Regions from separate parts of the Mus musculus genome. Here all the other regions are reported to be linked to region 2. Evidence: microRNA targets listed by miRTarBase, many of them from high-throughput screens and not tested one by one. Region 2 holds a microRNA gene; each other region holds the end of a gene's coding sequence.
The links. The annotated mature microRNA mmu-miR-1894-5p reads CUCUCCCCUACCACCUGCCUCU and lies in region 2 at 2,922-2,943, shown strand. An mRNA with a match to its seed (bases 2 to 7 or 8) in the 3' UTR can be bound and repressed. Matches are read on the target gene's strand: a 7mer-m8 pairs with bases 2 to 8, a 7mer-A1 pairs with bases 2 to 7 and ends in A, and an 8mer does both.

Region 1: miRTarBase lists Gda as a target of mmu-miR-1894-5p. Seed matches in the 3' UTR shown: 8mer at 2,724-2,731 and 7mer-m8 at 3,724-3,730.
Region 3: the mRNA of Mcmdc2 is a reported target of mmu-miR-1894-5p. Seed matches in the 3' UTR shown: 7mer-m8 at 600-606.
Region 4: the mRNA of Larp1 is a reported target of mmu-miR-1894-5p. Seed matches in the 3' UTR shown: 7mer-m8 at 957-963.
Region 5: miRTarBase lists Dzank1 as a target of mmu-miR-1894-5p. Seed matches in the 3' UTR shown: 7mer-A1 at 537-543.

What each region holds. Positions count from the first base shown.
Region 1 is chr19:21,391,366-21,395,484 of GRCm38, reverse strand. It overlaps Gda (guanine deaminase), which reads left to right. Exons shown (of 14, transcript NM_010266.2): 14 at 227-4,119. The coding sequence ends at 297. Among named protein-coding and RNA genes, the nearest start is that of Gda, 79 kb to the left of the region's middle.
Region 2 is chr17:35,914,978-35,919,096 of GRCm38, forward strand. Mir1894 (microRNA 1894) reads left to right here and starts at 2,912; the gene lies at 2,912-2,992. Mrps18b (mitochondrial ribosomal protein S18B) reads right to left here and starts at 1,463. Exons shown (of 7, transcript NM_025878.2): 1 at 1,315-1,463. The coding sequence starts at 1,386. Ppp1r10 (protein phosphatase 1, regulatory subunit 10) reads left to right here and starts at 2,219. Exons shown (of 19, transcript NM_001163818.1): 1 at 2,219-2,739.
Region 3 is chr1:9,940,257-9,944,375 of GRCm38, forward strand. It overlaps Mcmdc2 (minichromosome maintenance domain containing 2), which reads left to right. Exons shown (of 15, transcript NM_177722.3): 15 at 122-698. The coding sequence ends at 288. It overlaps Snhg6 (small nucleolar RNA host gene 6), which reads right to left and starts at 3,862. Exons shown (of 4, transcript NR_024067.2): 1 at 3,764-3,862; 2 at 2,354-2,461; 3 at 2,067-2,135; 4 at 1,769-1,899. It overlaps Snord87 (small nucleolar RNA, C/D box 87), which reads right to left and starts at 2,287; the gene lies at 2,214-2,287.
Region 4 is chr11:58,058,049-58,062,167 of GRCm38, forward strand. Larp1 (La ribonucleoprotein domain family, member 1) reads left to right here. Exons shown (of 19, transcript NM_028451.1): 19 at 511-3,986. The coding sequence ends at 717. Among named protein-coding and RNA genes, the nearest start is that of Gm51897, 32 kb to the left of the region's middle.
Region 5 is chr2:144,471,148-144,475,265 of GRCm38, reverse strand. Dzank1 (double zinc ribbon and ankyrin repeat domains 1) reads left to right here. Exons shown (of 21, transcript NM_172859.3): 21 at 177-4,118. The coding sequence ends at 342. Among named protein-coding and RNA genes, the nearest start is that of Gm46768, 53 kb to the right of the region's middle.

The DNA of each region.
Region 1 (4,119 bases), not on the chromosome of region 2:
TGGAGACCCCAATTCTCAACTGGCTAGGATGTCTTGACCAAGTCATCTCCAGGAGACTGTAAATGATCTGGGAGGAATAAAGTTTCTACCTTTGGGGGCTTGTGTTTCTTCTTTTAAAGGTTTTTATTTTTCTTTCTTAAAATCTAAAGGAAACTAAGGCAATCATTGACCCCCCCCCCCAAAAAAAAAAAGCACAGTACAAATGATTCTTTGGTTTTAATTTCAGGAGACGACCGAAATATTGAGGAGGTTTATGTGGGTGGAAAGCAGGTCGTTCCATTCTCCAGCTCAGTGTAAGGACCTTGGACATCTGCGACATTCTCCTGGGAAGACATGATTCCGCCATCTTCCTTGTGCCCAGGGACCAATCAGAAAGTATATTTACAAAAAAGTACCGTGTTCTTTGGATGACTTCTGTTCCTGTGTCTCCTTCCAGTGCCCACTTGGTAAATTGTTTGAAGGGAGTGCGCTGCTTCTCCACTCCAGTCTGGGAGCATTGTAATTTCATGACAGTGCCTCCCATTGGGCTGTTTAGATTTGCATTGTGCTCGCACAGAAGACATTGTTAACAGCTGGCAATGCGCTTCCAATAGTGAAGTAAAACGTTTCCATATAGGGAAATACAGGACGAGGAGATCTCCCTATGTGGCTAGACACTCTGTGCTAATGACTAAGAAAATTAGGAAACTCCAGTATGGACCAATGAGCAGATTTTTATGAGAGGGCACAAGCTAGACATTGAAAAGACATTGGAAAAGTCATTGGTTGTGCTTGGAAATTTAATATAGAGAACAGTCTCGTAAAAGGAGAACCTACTGGATTTAAAACATGCTTCTAGATCGACATTGTCTATGGACATTTGCACTTTGTGAAATTTGCATTTCAGGATGTGTTATTGTTATGCTTTCCCTTCTTGGGATGAATGTCAGAACCTGAATGCCACACGCTTTTCAAATATAGTTCTATGCTTCAAAGTGTTCGGCAGAAGTTGAGTATTAAAGATTTAAAGTCTCTTAGGGATAGTATTCACATAGCCGCAAGGCATAAATAGTTGTGTTTTTTTGTGTGTGTGTGTACTTCAAAGTCATCTTGATTCCTGGCTGTGAGGTGTTCCAGTTGCTTCTGTTTTATTAGATGAGAAACAAGCCCTGTGTGTTGCTGCTCTGTAGACTGGAGTTTTCATAAATCGGGGAAGTACTATATTCCCCGGAGTTGGTGACACTGAGGGGACAGGGTTCTTTGCAATGCTGAATCTACCCAACGCATAATCATTGCTGTACAGTTCACCCTCCTATCAATGTGCTAGAACTTAAAAGCCAAGTGCAAGTCCCTAAAGCATTATGGATAAGGCTCTGCAAGGCCAGTATACTGAAAGAGCTCTGTGTGTGTTTGTTTGTTTGTTCGTTTGTTTTAATTTACCAAATTGTCATTGTAATTCTTGAAGATTTTTCTGGCATTAAAATCTTAGAATAGTGAAAAGGATATAAAAATTCCATCTAATGTTTATATTTCTAGGACTTACCTGTACTAGACATCAAGGAATATTAAACAAAAGAGGGCCTTTTAGCTTTTCTAACGTATATGGTGTCCCTTCTCATATTAGAACTAAAACCAGGTCATAACCACGTGGCAGAGCTTTAGGAAACAGTGATGTGTATTCTACTTAAATACTACATTTTTCTTAATTAATTCCACCTCCTATAAACAAGCAAGGGCCAGGAACAGGTTTTATTAACATATATTTCACTCCTAGGGTTTAGGTGAGTTTCCATTGTATCTTATAACAGAGAAACCCATTAGGCAGTAGTTAGTTCTCACATCTAAGAACACACAGTTCTTCTGTTCTCTATGCTAACTCAGCAGTAACTTGTCCAGATCTATTTTCCTGGTAGAAGCACTTTTAGATCTGGTGTGTATACATTATATCTCAAGATGGTACACATTTAGGTCGTACTTTGTTTTATTTTGAGAGAGAAAGAGAGAGAGAGAGAGAGAGAGAGAGAGAGAGAGAGAGAGAGAGAGAGAGAGAGAGAGAGAGAATTTGTTTTGTGGGATATCGGTGAGTAAATCCAACCCCTGGCTTTAGTCTGCATGTCCAGCATTGCTAGCACATCAGAAATATCAAAATGAGCTGCCAGATTCCCCTCTCCCATTTCTCTCTGAGGCTGGCAACTGTTTAGGCTGTCTGTTTTGACTCTTGCCAAAGGGTTTACAGACCCCACACTTGTCCTCTTGAAGGGTGTGCATTTTGATGTTGAACATCAGCTTTTATTTAAACTTAAGACTCACATGCAGTAATATAGGCAAATGTAATTCTGGAAGCAGGAATAGCAGTGGTAATGTAACACCATCCTGTTGAGATTCAGATTAGTCCTGATAATGTGCTGCCAGTTGAATTACTTCTAATAAAAATAAGGTGTTGAAGTGTTTACATGTACTTTGAGTACTTTGATCTCCCTGCACTTATATGTGTTTTAGTTCCCCAAGTGAAGTGTTCATGAATGTTACCTATGCTTGTTTGAGTGTCCCACACATAGGGCCAGATATCCTGCACTTGGAAATGCTGCGCTCACCTAATAACGTAGGTTGACTTTCCTAATTATGGATAGGCACTGTTCCAAGCCTATCCCAGTTGTCACTTTATGTTTGAATGGTTTGCTCTCTGTAGAAGAAAGGAAAAGAGAAACAGAGAGAGAGGGGATGGGAGGGAGGGAGAGAGGAAGGGGGAGAAGGAAGGAAGGAAGGAAGGAAGGAAGGAAGGAAGGAAGGAAGGAAGGAAGGTTGTCCTGCCTATTCCATACCATTTGAATAATTTCTTTAGAGTTTTTGATGGACTTCATTGTAAAAGGTTAGAAGGCATTAAAAGTTATCATGTGTGTTATATTTATAACATATTCTTGCAGCCAAAACACAAAAGTAGACTAACCAAGTTGAATTTGATTTAAAAAAACAAAAAGGCAGGGAGGGATCAGGGGCATTAAAAATAAGAGGTTAGAACCTAAGAAGTCATCCTTATCTACAGGGCCAAAGGGGCTGGATTCCTCTGTTGTGTTATCTTACCTGGTTCTTTACTTACACTGTCAAAGACTTCACAGTCCCAGAGGGTATGCCAGGAGGGGGCCTTTCTAAATGAATCCTGTGAACACTGCATTTCTTTGCTTCTTTAGTGAAAAACATTTCAAGACAAATGAAAGGAAATGATAAAAAAAAAAAAAAAACCTCTTCATTGCTTTGCTGATTTTGAGGTATGCCCTCAAATATCCCCCAAAGCAAACAGAGGCAACATGAGTGCCAGATCTGGCAATATGTTCTAAATCTTCACTCTCTACCAGATAATTTCTATTTTTAAGCTCTTTCCCTTTGGAAGCAGACACATGAGAAGCCTTCCAGGCACACTGGGATGCACATTGTACCCGTTCCATCAGTGTGCATATGTGGAAGATACCCAGAACTCCGTGCTTCTGCAGCCTAGTGGACATCTTTTAAGGTTGCTGTTGCTGGACTATTCAAATATTTGAAAAGAGTCATCTTAGCTGTTAACAGGTAGAAGGAGACATGTATCCTGGGCAATGACTCAAAATAAATCTTAAATTACAGGGACTCTATGATACATTAAAAAAAATTAAAAGACCAAAAAGAGATGTTTGCCATTTCTAATCTCCTAGCTGCTGCATGTATGATTTTGCACAATACACTTTATAATGTCGTGGGAAGAAGCAGACAGGGGAGAGGTCACTGAGAGAAAACTCTTGATATTCGTTACCACGCATGTTTTAAAGTCTACCCCACCTTCCTGCCCATCTCCAGCACTGAGATGCAGTGTTGTGGGCCTAGTCCATGTTTAGTGAAATGCAATGTCAAGAAAGTCAATGAGGAAATTAAATGTAAATTCTGAGCAGCCATTTACTGGGTTACTTGAGCAACCAATCATTATGAATTTCTGTTATTTGGCAGTGACTTATCTGTCTATTTCTTACCCAAAAAGCCCATCAGAAGGTGTCCCTTACATTATTGCTAACCTTCTGATTGCTGTTCTTAAGGATAGAGACATATATGTGTATGTAGTCAAGGGGACATCCTTCCCCTCGGTATCTGTATGATTTTGCTTATTGTTAATGT
Region 2 (4,119 bases):
GACCCTGCAGGATAAGCCAACAAGGTAAAAGATGTTAGTGGGATGTGACAATTTAAAAACCTTGGCATACAAATATCTGCGTTTGATGAGCACTGGTTGGTTATGGTGTGAAAAAAATGCCAAACTTTTGGAAATAAGATTGATAATGGCTGTCAAGATGGCTCAGCGGGTAAGAGCAATCCCAGCAACCACAAGGTGGCTCACAACCACCCATGAGCTCTGACAACCCCTTCTGGTGTGTCTGAAGACAACTACGGTGTACTTATGTATAATAATAAATAAATCTCTTAATAAAAAAAAAAAAAAAGAAAAGAAAGCTGGGCGTGGTGGCGCACACCTTTAGTCCCAGCACTCCGCAGAGAGGCAGAGGCAGGAGGATTTCTGAATTCAAGGCCAGCCTGGTCTACAAAGTGAGTTCCAGGACAGTCAGGGCTATACAGAGAAACCCCGTCTCAAAATACCAAAAATAAATAAATAAAAAGAAAACACAAAGATTAATAATGGAGAGCTGGGCATGATTCATACAGATGAGAAAACCCCAAAGTCGCTGCGCTGATCAGTTTCTTAAAATGCTGCAGGTCAACATTCCACAGAGCAAAACAAATTTGCGTCCTAACGCTAGCTTTAAAGCCACCAAGCCTGTTATTACTTCGGTGGTAACCTCTGTCACTACTCTGTAGTCCCATTTTAGGGAGTGGCGTCGAGACAAGCCTTCCTATTCCTCCCTGCCCTGCGGAGAACCTCCAGGGTGGTGAGTACCTGAGGCTAAAGGGCAATCTCAATCCAGAGAGCAGAATGATCTCAAGCATGCTCTGATGGGGAAATGACGTGTGACGAGGTGGAGTAGGACTAGTGTACTTGCTTTTAATTCCATAATCTGGGAGGGAGAGGTAGAAAGCTCAGAAAGTACCTATGAGACCAACCTGGGCTGTCTCCCGAACACCGGGGAAAATCCTTAAAATAGGGTCCTTTGCTAAAAAAAAAACAACAACAACAAAAAAAAACCAAACACGTCCTGGGTGCCACTTCAGGCACCAACGACCTGGTTACAAACTGCCCATTTCCACAGGGGCAACCCCACCATTTAGTTCTTTTGCCTAATGGTAGTCGGGAGACGACGATGATAACCCGTAACCCTGGCTCTGACCCGAACGCTCGGTAGTTAGAAATCGCGCGCCGTAGGGGACGGAGGCTGGTGCAGGGCTGACACGTAGACATGTGGGAAAACCCATGCCCCTTGACTCCTCCTAATGGAAGGAAGATCGAAAGTATAGACACCACGGGGAGGTAGAGAAAACCCCTCCAACGTTTTACCTGAGCTACATAGGAACTTCGTAAGAGTGTAGGAACCAGCTTTAGAAGCGTGTGCCGCAAGGGGGCAGCCATCTTGACGCACACCGGACGTACGGCCTGCCGGAAGAGCGACTGCGCATGCTCGGGACACGCACTAGGGTGGGCCAAGGACACGCCCCGCAATGCGGAAGGCGGCTGCTCACATGTCTAAGGGCGGAAGCGTCAAGGGGCGGGGTCCACAGACGCGAATTTAAACTGCGTCACAATCGAACCAGCCTTCAAAATTGCATTTCTCCCGGACCAGTCACGATGAATCCTAGATTCCATGGTTAGTGTCTAACATGAAAGCAGATTTGATTGCGATTTTAACCAGGGTGCTCCCAGTGCGCATGCGTCGGGCCGTTTCGGCCAACCGAGGGCGACCCCGGGTCGCCGGAGCGGAAGTGGTGGAGGCAGAGGAAAGGGAGGTGCCGGACGCGGCGATCACGCGCTGGCGTAGAGGTGATAGCAAGGAGACGGAAGAGGGGAACCGAGGGAAGGGGGCTTCGGGAAGGTGGAGGAGGGACGTCCAATCCGCGGGCGACCCGGCTCGCACGCTGGCCAATCAGAGTTCGCCTCGCGCACAATGTGTCCCGGCGAGGGCGGTTCTCCATCACGTTAGGGTGCGTTGGGCGGTGGCCGGGTATAAAAGACTCCGCCCGAGCGGGCGGCCGCCATTCTGGGGTTCGTTTAGAGGTAAGTTTGGGTGCTCCGTCGCTTTGGAGGGTAACGTTTTGCCGAGAGCGGGCCGGGGGAACGGGGTGGTTTCGGATTTAATGGGCAGCCACGTTTTTCCCTAATGCGGCTGCGTCCTGCGACAACTTTGAAACGTTTAAAGGCGACCCGTACTGATTACACCTTCCTCCTTTTGTGTTCCTTTTACCCCAGGTTGAATTTTCTCGGAGAAAGACAGGCCGGCCATCAGGAAAACAAACAAGCCTCAGCAACATCTAAACCCTTGAAAGGATCCTGAGAGGGGGGAAAGGGAAATCAGCCACCAGCCCAACCACTCGTGTCTTCTGCCCCTCCCCACCTATCTTGCCCACCCCACCAGCCCACGCTGCTTGGGACTTGAGATCTGTGGCCGAAGGACCGTCACCACATAACTTCAAAAATAATCAACCACCTTCCCTGCCCAAACCTACCCAATCTCACTCATCCAGCATTTCCGTTTTGGAATCCACTCAGACTTTTTTTTTCAACGACCCCCTCTCCCTAAATGGAGTTGGGCGGGGGGGAAATGAAAACTGAGTTGGTCTTTACTTTTTTTAAAAGAGACTTTTTGATCCAATGAGGCCCCACAAGTAACTGAGTTTGGGTCCTGGTTGGTTGCTTTATTTTTTTTCCTCCAAAATTTTACCCCTCCCCCCTGAGCCCGAGGTGCTGACGTCGCAAAAAAATTGGATAGTAAGTGTCGAATTTTCAAAAACCAGCCTTGAACAAGAAATCAACGTTTCCCGTTGTGAAACCAAAAATAATGAGAGGAAGAAATGAGACCATAGAACAAATGTAGAGTACTGGAGAGAAGGACCAATCGGGTCTCTTAAATCTCCATTAAAGGTCCTGTGGGTCTAAACAGTCTTTGTTCTCTCTCCCCTACCACCTGCCTCTTCCCTGCTGTGGAGCAGGCAAGGGAGAGGGTGAAGGGAGGGCCAGCCAGTGAGGATTTTGACGGTTAACCCTTGATAATCCAGCAGATTTCCAGACTGCCAGAGCATAAGCCTTTGCGATAATAAGGAGGAATGGTTACCTTCCTCTGGTTAGCAGTCTTCAAAAGGGTTAATGAGCTCACATACAAAAGATGGTGGATCTTGTGGCCCAGAAGTCCCACTTCTTTGTGTGTGAGACAAGCAGAACGCCTTTCAATTTGCCAGATTAATAAGCAATCTGTACATAAAGATTGCAGGGTAAGGAGATGGGCAGAGAAATATTAGCTGGCTATGTCTTTAAAGTGACTGTTAAATCCTCTCTATTTTAATGTAATTTGCTTGGGATATATTGTGTGGTTAAAATAGGTGGCAATCTAGGAATAAAGATTGCAAGACACTTAAATTTAGGGCAAAAATCATAGTAACAAGTACATACAATAACATTTGGGGAGGTAAAGAATGTCTTGTGATTGTTTCAGCTTGCATAGGTTATTTAAAGGCAAAAGTGATTAACATTTTAACTTGATACTTTTTTAGTGGGTGGTGGATACAGCTAAGAGGGTGGAAAGGTTGGGAAATGTGGAACTCAGGAGTATAATTTTAAAAGCCATTAGTGCATTTGAATGCTATCTTTCTAGAAGATTGTGTCGTTAAAAGATTTTTTTTTTCCTCCCTGCTTCAAATATGGCGACTTTTCCTTGCTTGTCCTTTTGTCTTGCAAGCGGCGTTGCAGGTTGTGTCTTGACCCATTTTTCTCCTGTCCTCCCCCCTCGGTCCTATTTGTTGAGGGGTCCAAGTCCTACCACTTGGCTTTTGTAGGGAGGATTGGGATGGTCGGCGGTAGTAAGTTGAATTTTAGTTGCAAATTCAGATTCTTATCCCGCAGAAAATTGTATATTAATTGATTTTATTTTCAGTAATAGGCTCTTAAACTGATTTAAGATAGGTCAAGTTGAGGGTGGTGGTCAGAGGGATGGCTTCTGTTTGTTTTTTGTTTTTGTTTTTTTAACTTAGTGCCTTACAGTGTTAAGTAAAGCTACCGGCAGATCTGCCCGGCCTTTTAAATTTTGAATCTTCTCCATAACAAAATGGCGTCCCTCTCCTTTGTTTTTCTCCTTTGCCAGTCAGCTTAGGGCTT
Region 3 (4,119 bases), not on the chromosome of region 2:
ACTACTCAAAATAAAACTATGATGAAACTCAATATTCAGTAGTTAACTTTTAAATCCTCATTTTGTTGAAACATACCTCCATTTTTAAAGTCTCATTTACACTATTTTGTTCTTCATTTAGGGGCCACTCCATTTTGTGTTGCTCCCAATGCATTATTTCCATTTGAGCTGTATAATGAAGAATATTTAGAGCAAAGAGATCTCTACCTGACTCAGTGCCAACAGCAGCTCCAACAGTTTATTGCCACATGTGGACCTGGGACAACTGTCTTTTCTAGTGATGAATAAGCAATTTAAGAATTACCTTTCGGGCCTAGCAAACACAGAAGTGGATGTTCACAGTCAGCTATAGGATGGAACACAGGGCCCCCAATGGAGGAGCTAGAGAAAGTACCCAAGGAGCTGAAGGGGTCTGCAACCCTATAGGTGGAACAACAATATGAACTAACCAGTACCCCCAGGAGCTCGTGTCTCTGGCTGCATATGTAGCAGAAGATGGCCTAGTTGGCCATCAGTGGAAAGAGAGGCCCATTGGTCTTGTAAACTTTATATGCCTCAGTACAGGGGAACGCCAGGGCCAAGAAGTGGGAGGGGGGAAGGGGGAGAGGGCATGGGGGACTTTTGGGATAGCTTTGGAAATGTAAATGAAGAAAGTACCTAATAAAAAAAAAGGAAAAATTACCTTTCATGCCCCATAAGCCTTGGTAAATGTATGATTTCAGAGTAATGGTTCAGACTATGTATCATCTCAAGGTTATTTGTTAGAATGTCATTTAGAGTATGAAATGTGGCCCCTTCATAATTACAAATTTGCAACTAACCCAACATCTAAACCAAGAACAGAAATTATGTTACCAAGGAGCTTGACATCAAAAACTCCAGTATATATATCATGGACACACACACAGTAGAGAACATTGTAGTGTGAAAAAGGTTTTGTTCATTCCACCCATCAGGTAGCAACACTTTACCTACCAACATACCCAGCTTGAGCTCATTAATTACCAGTGATGAGTTCAAGTCAGTGCAACTTAATGACCCAAAGTGCCTATGTAAGGCTTTTCTTTATTTAACATGTGCATTATGGGCATATAGCTTTATAAAGCTAAATGTGGAGAGTTAAGGAAAGCTGTGAAAATCTTATATATGCCTTCTGCTGGATACAACCAAAGTGACACTAAAGACAACATTCCTGGGGTCAAGTCGTCTTCCTGCCAGGAGGTGGTAGGTACTACAGGGTCCCACAGCACCTTGTATTTTGGTACTTGATCTGAACAGCAAGTTAATGATATAGTACATACAAACAAGACTTGCCTTGTGCCTTTTCATATGATGTGGTTAAGTCTAGGTCTCTAGGGTAAAAACAAAACAATTCTTATCTAAACAGCCAACACACCTGGAAAGCCTAATGTTCGAAATTTCTATCCTGGGAATCAAATCCAGAGCTTTGTGCCTTGTTAAGCCAGTTAAACTTCCCCAGCCCTTACAAAGGCCCAAGTCATCAGAATGTTGAATTTTTAAGCTACTTACTAAACTTAGGGATTCTATTGGTTAAAGATTTAGCCAAGTCTTCACTCGAGGAAATCCAGTTTGAGAGTTTCAAGTGATCCTAGACAGATTGCCAATCACTTTCTTTCCTGCTGTGCATTACTGGCTACTTACTAGCCAGCCATCAGGATTGCATTGACAAAAAGTCCGCAGCTCATGAAAGACGAGTTTATTTTACTACGAGAATGACATTTTAAAGAAATTACTGCCCACAGCAATTAAGAATAACTGTTTATTTATATATAACTTATTAATATTAAATTAGATATTAATTTTCACCATTTGCTTCTGTTTATGGCTTCTTGACTTTGTTCATGGCCTTCATTTTACCTTCCAATATGTAAGCTGCACCTTCCCAAAAGGAAAAAAAAAAAGTCAGAAACCCCAAATCATTTTTCTTCCATCTCAAACTAGGCCCAGGTGTTCACCCTAATGATCTTCAAAACGAACTGGCCCCAGCCCCTCAGTGTTATCAAACAGTATTGAATCCAGATACATGACTGATTAAGCAAACTTACCCAAAACAATAAAGGGTTTTTAGACATCACAGCTCCCAAAGTTGGACATCCACTACAGCCACCTACATGCTGGGGAGAACAAACAGTAACCCATTTTAACAATGGCGTCACATGTTAGTCATTTGCATCATCTATATACTGCTGGCATCTCAGTCTTTTAAGATTCTCTCTTCAAAGAAACACTCAGCTGGGTAAACGGCAAAAACTTAAGTCATCATTGTGCCAGCTATTAAGGCCCTGTTAATCAAACCTCAAAGAAAAAAAAAAACCACACACACAATTTGTACCTTGTTATTGGCAAATGTAGTCCTGGCAGCTTGTTTCAATCACTCTCCATGACAAGTGTTTAGAAAATATTTGTTCAAGCACCTTCAAATGAGCAGGTTTTGTTGCACCTAAAAATTAAAATATTTGTGAACTCTCATTTTACTTCCATGTTTTAATACCTTGCATGAGTGTGCACTGGCTACTTTTATGTCACCTTGACACAAGCTAATCACTGGTGTAGGAAGCTACAATTGTAAAAATGCATCCTTAAGATAGGGCTGTGGACAAGCACGCCTGTAAGGCATTTTCATAATCAGTGACTGGGGTAAGGGGGCAGCCACCTCCCCTGGGCTGGAGGCCCTGTGTTCTCTAAGAACCAAAGCGTAAGCTAATAGCATCCTCCATGGCTTCGGCATCCGCTAACTCCAGGTTCCTGTGGTGCTTCAGTTCCTGTCCCATCATCCGTCCATCACAGACAGAAAAACATTTTACTCACGCCCTTCACTGCCAGTACTAACTTAAAGGACTGAGTACCAAGCCTTGGCTTCTCAGTCTTGGTGCTTGCACGGAAAAGCTTGAGGCATATATGCAATTGTGCAGACCATCACTGGGACATTAGAACAGGAAACGGCATGGCCAGAGTCACAAATCAGAGAATGAATGATTGAACCGATTACTGGTGATGACTTATCACCTGCAAACCGATGAGAAATCCTTAATCATTTTCATATTTGAAACGCTGAGTTTACAGAAATCCAGAGTACCCAATTTGGCTTACAGATACCAACAGTAAAGTATAACATGCAGGCCTGAAATGTAGTGTTCTTTTGTATCCACACGCTTCAGAACTTACCACCACCTTCTTTTGCCAGCATCCCCACCCTGCGTGGCTTTCAAATAGTTTGAAAATTTTGCTCCAACTTTAGATCGTACTTACAGGGTTGATCCATGAATACAAGCTTTTTAGAGTGATGCCAATACTTCAGATCAAACTATTAATCTTTAAAAAAAAAAAAAGCCAAAAAAAAAAAAAAGCCTAAAATTGGCGGTCTTAACATCTTAGAAGCAGTACTTTTCCGCCTCTGTAAAATTTCCTATGGATTACTCACTTAGGAAGCCTGAAACAGACCGCATGGTGGCTTTTCTTGGGGATACAAAGGGGCTCCCGCCAGGGTGCAGGCCCAGATGAAAGCTGCCGCCAGAAGCGGCCGCTTGTGCCCGCACTTCGAAGCGTCCAGAGGAGCAGGCCTTATAACTAATCTCGGTTAAGATTTGGAGACCATTGGGAACGCGCCCCGCCGCTCACAGCGGGCCAAGGGCCACACCGAACCCGGGAGCCATGGGGCCCCCGTACCCGGCTAGAGACGGACGCCGCCAACAAGGAAGCCCTCTCCGCACACACGGGGTTAAGCAGACCGCAGGATTCGCACCTGGAAACGCCCAAGGACACGCCGGGTTCGGCCGCCCGCGGCCTCCGCTGTGCGCCATGCTGCACCGTCTGCTCGCGCTCTACGGCGCTGCCGAGAAAGGAAGTGGCCCAGCGTGCGCGACCCTAAGGCGCTCCTGTAGGCCCCGCCTCTTCCGGCCAGCCCTCTTCTGCGTGCTCGCCTTCACCCCCTCCTCTTCCGGCTCTGTGTTTCTAGTGGGGCGGAGGGAGCAGGTTGTGGGAATTAGTGCGAATACTTCCGCTAGAGCTTTTTAATTGATTTTTCAAGTAATGAATAATGCCTTAAAATAGGACAGTCTCCCAGTCCAGGTCCTTATGTTTGCTGGGTCTTCTACATCC
Region 4 (4,119 bases), not on the chromosome of region 2:
GTAAGAGTGTCATCAGTTTACATACCTGTAAACTGGGCTTGTTCTTAACTACTCTGGGGAGGAGATGTGTGCTAAGGACCAATGGCTGGAACTTAGTACCTGGAAAATAGTTTGGGTGGCATTTGGTGATAGTAGGGCAAGCTGAATCACAGTCTTCATTGTTGGCTCACGGGCCTGGTGAAGGCTGGAATAAGACAGTTCCCTGTGGAGCCAATACATGCACCATGTAGCATTCCACACACCACAGGTCTTTTCCTAAGAGACCCTTTGTAGAAGGGGACAAAAATTTATAGGGTCAAACTCTGGTCTTTAAGGATATGGACCTAAATATAGGAAGCCTTTGACAAATTATGTGTTTGGTCCGTTTCCTTATTTCTGGTACTGTCCACATGAAAGGACAGGATGTAAATCAAACCATTGTCCTCATTTGGAGATGGAACGGAGACCTGATTGGTTCTGGAAAGTGGTGTGGCTAGTGTTCTCTGACCACTTGTGACTCCTCTGTTACAGCCCCCCATGGGCGAGGAAGGCAACCACAAGCGACACCCAGTGGTAGCAGGAGGCAGCGGAGAGGGCAGGAAGCGGTGCCCTTCCCAGTCTTCCAGCAGGCCTGCCACTGGGATCAGCCAACCCCCTACGACACCTACTGGCCAGGCCACTCGAGAAGATGCCAAATGGACAAGCCAGCACTCGGACACACTGACTTTGCGAAAGTGAATGGCCTGAAGCCCCCTGGGGTTTGTGATAGAGGGGTGGGGTGGTTGAGGATCTGTGGGGTGCCCAGAAGAGCGAACAAGAGAAGGGACAGACCTAGAGTACTAAGAATGGGCCTTTGCGCTAAGTAGCAGTGTATACCATTTGGGCTATTAGCGGTGCTCCTGGGCAGGAGCCTCCAAGTACCCCATCCCTCCTGTCACCATGACTTCCATCATAACTTCTAAGGGGGGAGGGGAAGGGGGGAGATTTTATATATATATATATATATATATACATATATATATATCAAGTTTTAAATTATTGATAGTTTGTCTGGATTACCAAAATCACTCTTTAGCCCTTCCTGCGGCTATTATGCCGACCTGTCTCCCCTGCCTCTTCCCGCTTCCCTCAAGCCAACTATGCAGCCCACCAGAAGGCTCTGGCGGTGCCCATGGGCCCCAGAAGCACCAGCCCCTTGATCACCTGGGGTTTGCCATCACCGTGTCCCTGCTGTTCCACATGCCCTTCTGCCACCTCTGGGGGAAGGAAACCAAAGGATCTCAGTGGGGGTGGGAGCTTCAGCCTCTCCCCTCGCCCCCTCGCCCCACCCCAGAGACGCTGCTCACACCAGAAGAGACTATTGAAAGATGATTCATTTTATTTTTTCTCTGACCTTTCCATCCTTGGGAAAACAGAAAAACAAAACAAAAAAACAAAAAAAAAACAAAAACGAAAATAAAAAAGAAAGAAAGAAGAAAGAAAAAAAAAAGACAAAATCGACCACTTTAAAAAAAAAAAAAAGACAAAAAACCAGAGCCCACCTACTCCATAGAAAGTGATGTCTTTCCCCCTCCTTGGAATTTTTCTTCTGTTCTGTTTTTGGAAATAATATTTTTTTAAAAGTTGCCTTATTGTGGAGCGGGAACCTGAACTAATGCCCAAATGCCTGTTTTCCTTGAGCCTCCGGAAGAGCTCCACCTGCCCGGGATGTCCCTGGACTTGGACTGACTAGAACTTTCCTCGAGACTGAGTTGCATGTACGGGGCCTCCTACCTGGAGGCAAGAGTTGGGGCAGTTCTATCAGAGCTGTGCCCAGGACACCCCTGCTGTTGCATTGTCTGAAGCCAATGTCCTGTGTCTGCACACTGTTGCCACTGTCCTTGTTGTGCTTGCTGTCGCCTCTCCAGGCCCACTCAGCTCTGCTCCGCCCCGCCCCGCCCAGCCAAGCCCTGGGAAACCCCAAGGCCAAGTTTGCTTCAGACTGTTGTAAACATAATTGGTCTTGCCTGGTACACACTTGTCCTCAGTGTGCACATCTCCCCAACTCCAGAACAAGGGGTTGAACACCCACTGATGTCCACAGCTTAGGTCTGTGTCTAACCTTAACGACCTTTGACCTCAAGGAGGTGGAGAAAAGGTACCATTCTCTAAGGGTCTGGTGTTGTCTTTCCATCTTATTACCACCACCCCCTGCAAGCCATCTCTGCCCACCCTCTCATTGGCCCTGCCTGGGATCAAGGGGGTGAGAGGAACCAAGGGCTGGGGAATCCTACCGTTTGGTGAAGCCCCATGGCAGGAAGGTATATGTGGACATAGAGTATACCTGACTTCTCTTCAAAAGCCAGACTGCCTGAGCTGCACTTGAGATGCCAGAGGAGTGGCTGGAGGCTGCTGTCACCAGGAGCTGAGGAGGGTAATGAAGGACTGAGCACACAGGCTGGGAGACTTCATGCTAACCCTACACTTGGACCTAGGTGGCACAAGGGGGTGTGGTCTTTTTGCTAGCTTAACTGAAATTTGTGTGACCCTCCTCATCGCCCAGTTCCTCTATTGTCCCAAAAGTTGGGACTGGGACACAGCATCCCAGGCTGACAAGAGCTTGCCTTCTGTCTTTGGGCACCTTGTTACTTTGAGCTCATGCCTTGCCCCACTCTGTCCTCCCGGTGCTTAGGATGTGGGAATCCCTTGTCAGCTCCTGTGACTCACTTGTCGCAAACAAATAAGGGAACAGGATCATCTGCTGCTGGGATCTGAGGCCTTCTCCTAAGTCTGGTACCTGCCCTATGGTGCACCTTCACCAAACAGTGGGCTCCCTGCTTCCCTTTCTCCTCTCCTCTCCTCACTCAGCCCTCTACTGTATATCCAGCACCACAGAACCTCAGGGCTTGAGGCCCAGCATCAGGGAAGGTGGTTTCCATCTAGGCTATCCAGACTAGGGTTGCCATTCTCTCCCAGATCCTCCCAGACCCTCTGAGGGAAGAAGCCCCTCTGGGGTGGGAAGGCAAGGCTATCATCTCAACACAGGCTGAGGAGGGGTGGGAGTGTGTGTGTGTGTGTGTGTGTGTGTGTGTGTGTGTGTATTTTTTGTGACATGTTAAGAGTTGATGTTGCGGAGTAGTTTACATCTTCACCTTCTGAAGACACTTGAATTTAGGACCGATGTATCTGTGACAAGTATGCCAGGAGTGGGGGTGGGGCACCAGAGCAAGCCACTTCCCCATCACCATCTTCCCATGGAATCCAAGACCTAAGACAGACAGCCTGCCAAATGGAACCGCCTTCATCCTCTGCCTGTGCAGGGTTAGACATCCACCTGGCCCCAGCAAGGGGCAGATGGTGGTTTGCAAACCTGTGAGCCTCAGAGCAGATTTGCTACTCGGAGGGAAGGCTGCCTGGCCCTGCTCCAGCCTGGACCGCAGGTTCAGACAGGTGCTGAGCCCCGGGTCAAGTTGTTCAATGTTTTTGTTCTGTAGCTCCTTCCCACTCCTTTTTGATGACATTTACAAAAGAAGGCAAGCTGCTTGGAAGGTCTGGACATGAGGGAAAGGGCATTGAGGACAAGGCTAATGGTGGGGAGTGCTAGAGGCTTGGGTTCCCCTGTCCCCTGGATGGGACCCCAGAGTCTCTTGTCACAGGGCCCCTAGGTTTTCCCCAGCTCCCACCCTCTCCTCCAGCCATGGTTACGGCAGAGGCAGAAGAAAACTTTGAGCCCAGTTCTCACAGGAAAGGAAAACTCTCATGGGCTTTGCAGAGAAGGTTCCACCTACGCTCATATATTGTCTTTACCATGTGCTAGGATATCACATCAACAGGACAAGAAAAATGTAAAATACTTGAATGAGCTTGTATTATAACATTAATATTATTGAGAGTGTCTGCTTCCCAGGCTGAAGTGATTCATTCATTATTCTGGTCCTGCTCTAGTCCTTTGTAATTGGTGGTAATTATTATGCTTTTCTTTTTAATACAAAAAAAATGTATAAAAATAAAAACTTGAAAAGGCAAAACACTGGCTGGTCTCCCATCTGGGACACTACTGTTGGGTGTGACAGAGAAGCCTGGTGTGTATCCCCAGATGGAGGTTCCCACCCCCTACATGAGCATGACTAGAGTACATTCTCTTAAGAGCCTTTGGCTCCT
Region 5 (4,118 bases), not on the chromosome of region 2:
AGGAAAGACAGAGACACATTTTTACATAGTATACCCCAACAAGTAGAGTCACTCTGAGAGTTGAAGCCATAGTGTCTTTTTAGGGGCTTTTATGGGGTACATTGGCTTCTAGGCAAGGAAGGGTCAAGTTCTGAGGGTCATACGCCTGAGTGATTGTGTCTCCACTTCCTTCGCAGATGCAATGCAAACGCCCAAAAGAAGAACACAAGAGGCCAGACAGCATATGACATCGCTCTGGAGATGGGAGATGACCTCACCTCTTCTCTCTTTGCCGCTAAGTTCACCCAAGGTCTGGAGGACCAACTTTCTCCACCTGGGAACCGCATCCTAGGTGACAGTTAGATCTGAGGGGTCAGGAGGCTGCAGAGACTGCCCAGCTACAGCTGGGCTTAGTTTGGAATGCGTATTTAAGTGTAAGAATTACGGTTGAAAAGAACTCATAAGACTGTGTGTGTGTGTGTGTGTGTGTGTGTGTGTGTGTGTGTGTGTGTGTATGAGAGAGAGAGAGAGAGAGAGAAGGGAGAGTATGTAAGGGAGGGAGAAGAGAGAGAGGAGTGTGTGTGTGTGTGTGTGTGTGTGTGTGTGTGTGTGTTTGTGTGTGAGAGAGAGAGATTGAGCCTTGCAGATGCTAAGGCAAGCATTGTACCACTGGGCTATATCCCCAGCTTTCTTCATTTTGAAATAAGATCTCATAAAGTTGCTCAAGCTGGCCTTGAACTCCCCCTATAGCATAGACAGGCCTTGAACAACGTGGGATCTTCCTGCCGCAGCCTCCGAAGTAGCTGAGATTACAGGTTGTGACAAACAAACACAGCTTTTTTTTTTTTAAGGTGGTATAACTACCCAATACCACCTATACCTTAGAGTATGATAAAATGAAAGTTTTGTGTTTTATTTTCTGTTTTGTTGTTTTGTTTTCCCTTTTTTTTTCTGAGACTATATAGACATGGCTGGCCTAGAAATTTGCTATGTAGACCAGGCTGGCCTTAAACACACAGGCTGTCTCTGCCTCCCAAATGCTGGCATTAAAGGCATGTGCCACCATGTCCAGATTTTTAAAAATATTTTATTGATAATTTTGAAATTTGGTTTTTGATTTTTTGTTCTTCTTTATTGTTGTTTTGAGACAGGGTCTCATGTGTCTTGTCCTTGAACTTGTTATGTGGCTGAGGATGACCTTGAACTTGTGATCCTGCCGCCTCCACCTTCTAAGTGCTGGGATTACAGACTTGTACCACATTGGATTTTATGTGGTACAGGGGATTGAACCCAAGGCTTCATGCATGCTAACCAAATACTCTACCAACTGAACTACATTCCCAGCCTGGTTATTAATTTATCTTTCCATAGATAATAACACTTGTGGTTTAAAGCCAAAAGTATAAAGTACTATATAATAAAGTTCTCATCCAGGTTCTTAAACCACTGTTTCATCCTTAGAACCAGCCATGTCTGTGTAGAGGTGGTACAACATTATATAATCACATATGTATATGTACACAAGGAGGATAACATAAAAGTACATAGCACGTATATATCCTTCCCTATAATATAGCTTAATTAAATAATTTGTAAGAATTCATAGCAGAACGGCTATGTCCTTTCCTTAGCAGAGAGCAGACAGTGTATCTGAAAAGTCTCTTCCCAGGATCCAGAATGGGATGAACCTGTCTTGTGCTCCCTCAAACTGGACTCAGCCCATCTCTGGGCTCTTCCCCCTCTGCCCAGCAGTATTCCCTGCCTGGTGGTGACCCCTCACCCACAGCAGACAGATGACTGGAAACAGTTCTACTTGCATGACAGCGTTACAGACTGGCTCTTTCTTTCCTACAAAGGATCAAAGAAATATGTTCCTAGGAATGGGTTTAATATGGATGTAACTTAGATTCTGCTAAGTCTGCTGAAAGCAAGACCACACTTGCTCAGCATGACATTCTGTTTCTTAGTGGCGGTTCCTCTTCCCCCAACTTGCTGTAATGTTCAGGACATCCATCAGGAAAGAGATCCACTGTCTATAAGAGACCTAGGAGGTCTCTTCCTACAGATATGTGGACATCTGGTTAGTGCTATTAGATGCTTCTGTGTCTGGTGTTTTGTTTTCTGCCATCTAGCAAAATGTCTAACACTCAGGCCCCTCCTTTGGAGAACATTCCACATTGTATGAGAAACTCTGGGCCTCCAGCATCTCTCTCTCTTCCTTTTACTTACAGAATAGTACATGTGAGTCCACTTGAAGAGAGGGGTAACTGCCACCTTGCCTGCCTCTCTGTGTAATGGGTGACACAGTTGGTCACAATCAGTGGCCCAATAGTAGTTATGATCCCACAGTCCTCAGAGCTACTTTTTCCAGAAGTCGCTCTACAAACCCTTGACCAATGTGAACCCCAAATACTCTGCCTGGTTATATGTTCTGTGTATTTCCCTTGAAAACCATGGAACTATTCCCACACAGATACACATACTGGCACACTTATAGAGTTGGCATAGAACAATCTTAGATACAGCATTTGGAAGCACAGACAGAAAGTGTCGAGAGAAGACAGAGAAATCAGACCAGCTAAAGATATTGGAATATTATGGTAATGGCATCACTATGGTTCTTAGTACATACAAAAGAGGGTATGTAGGCCAAAAATGTTAAGTGCAGTTGAGTAGAGAGAGGCTCTGTGACCGTGCTGGAGGAATTGATGGGATGGAGTGGTCATCTGATGGATGGACTTGCATGGCTCAAGGGAGGAGCAGCTGGTTAGCAGAATACTTCTCCAGACTGTTGTCTGTCTAGGACATTAGTGGAATCAGAGGACTATTGAGTTCTTAACTGATTGGTGGTGACAGCCCAACTAAAGGGACATTCTCTAGAGCCTACCTATGCTCTACCTATGCTGTTGATGTTAGGTAAATTCATAATAAAGTCCACTAGCTTATGCTGATGACAGTTTGACCTCATTCCCCTCATAACATACCTGAAGGCCTCGGTAAACTTCACAGGCTGATCCCTTTGTAATCTCCCAGAGTCCTCCATCTTTAGCAAAGTTGAATTTGTAAGGTTGAGACAAAAATCGTATTCTCCAGCAGGTACATTGTCTCCTGTGACTGCTAAAGCAAAGCTCTCCATTGTTTTTAATCTGTTACCATTTTGGCCCGGTCTGGATCTTTCTATCTTCAAGTCTCAATATCTATTGTAGGAACCCAGGAGGAGCTGTAGGGTTTTTTTGGTTGGGGTTTTTGGCCAGATGCAGTCTATAGGTTTGAATTAAGTTCAGGTTACCCAAAGTGTTGAGCCAAAATATTATCTACAAAACTGGGCCATCAAGTCTGAGAGTCTGAAAGCTGCCAAGACAATTCAGCTTCGAACACAGGCCTTCCACGTATTCTAGATTCATTGAATGTACATCTTTTTAAAGTGTAGGCAGCACGTAGGCCAGCTCACGTACCATGTACCATTAGGGCCCTGTGAGAAATGAAGCTGCACCTTCCTGCCTACCAGAGACATCCACGTGGCAGACAGCAAGGAGCTGGTGACCCCTTACCTAGTCTCAAGGTTAAGATGTTGAAACGGGATTTTTGGTTGTGTCTAATACTGTGAAATAACAATGTAAGTGGTCTGTTTCCCTTCGGTAAGCTTCTTCAGTGATGTGACCATGTGGGTTGTTTCTGTGTTACGTTCCTGACAGCCAAAGTCCTGAAGGTGCCTTTTCACGTTAAAGTGGTTTGATCTCTGAGTTGAGTTATGAGAAATAGGCGAGAATAGAGGAGTCCCAAGAGTAAAGCTTTAAGAAATGTGGGCTGCTGAGATGTCTTTTAGTGGTTGAAGGTGTGTCTTTGAAGAGGCTTGTGGGATCTCCTCATTCTCTTTTGCTTCCTGGTGATGAAGTGAATGGTTTTGTTCTGGTATGATGTAGTTAGTGCCTTGCCACAGGCTCAAAGGCATGGAACCAAATGATCACGGACTGGAAACTTCTAAGCTGTGAGCCAACACAAACCTTTCTGTTTGTAAGTTGATTATGTCCAGTATTGTGTTATAGTGATGAAGCGCTGACTAGTACTGTGTTGTGCCTGCATGCTTACACATCCAACCTCCATGCCTGAGGCTGTAAGTCTTATGTTTAAGTATAGCT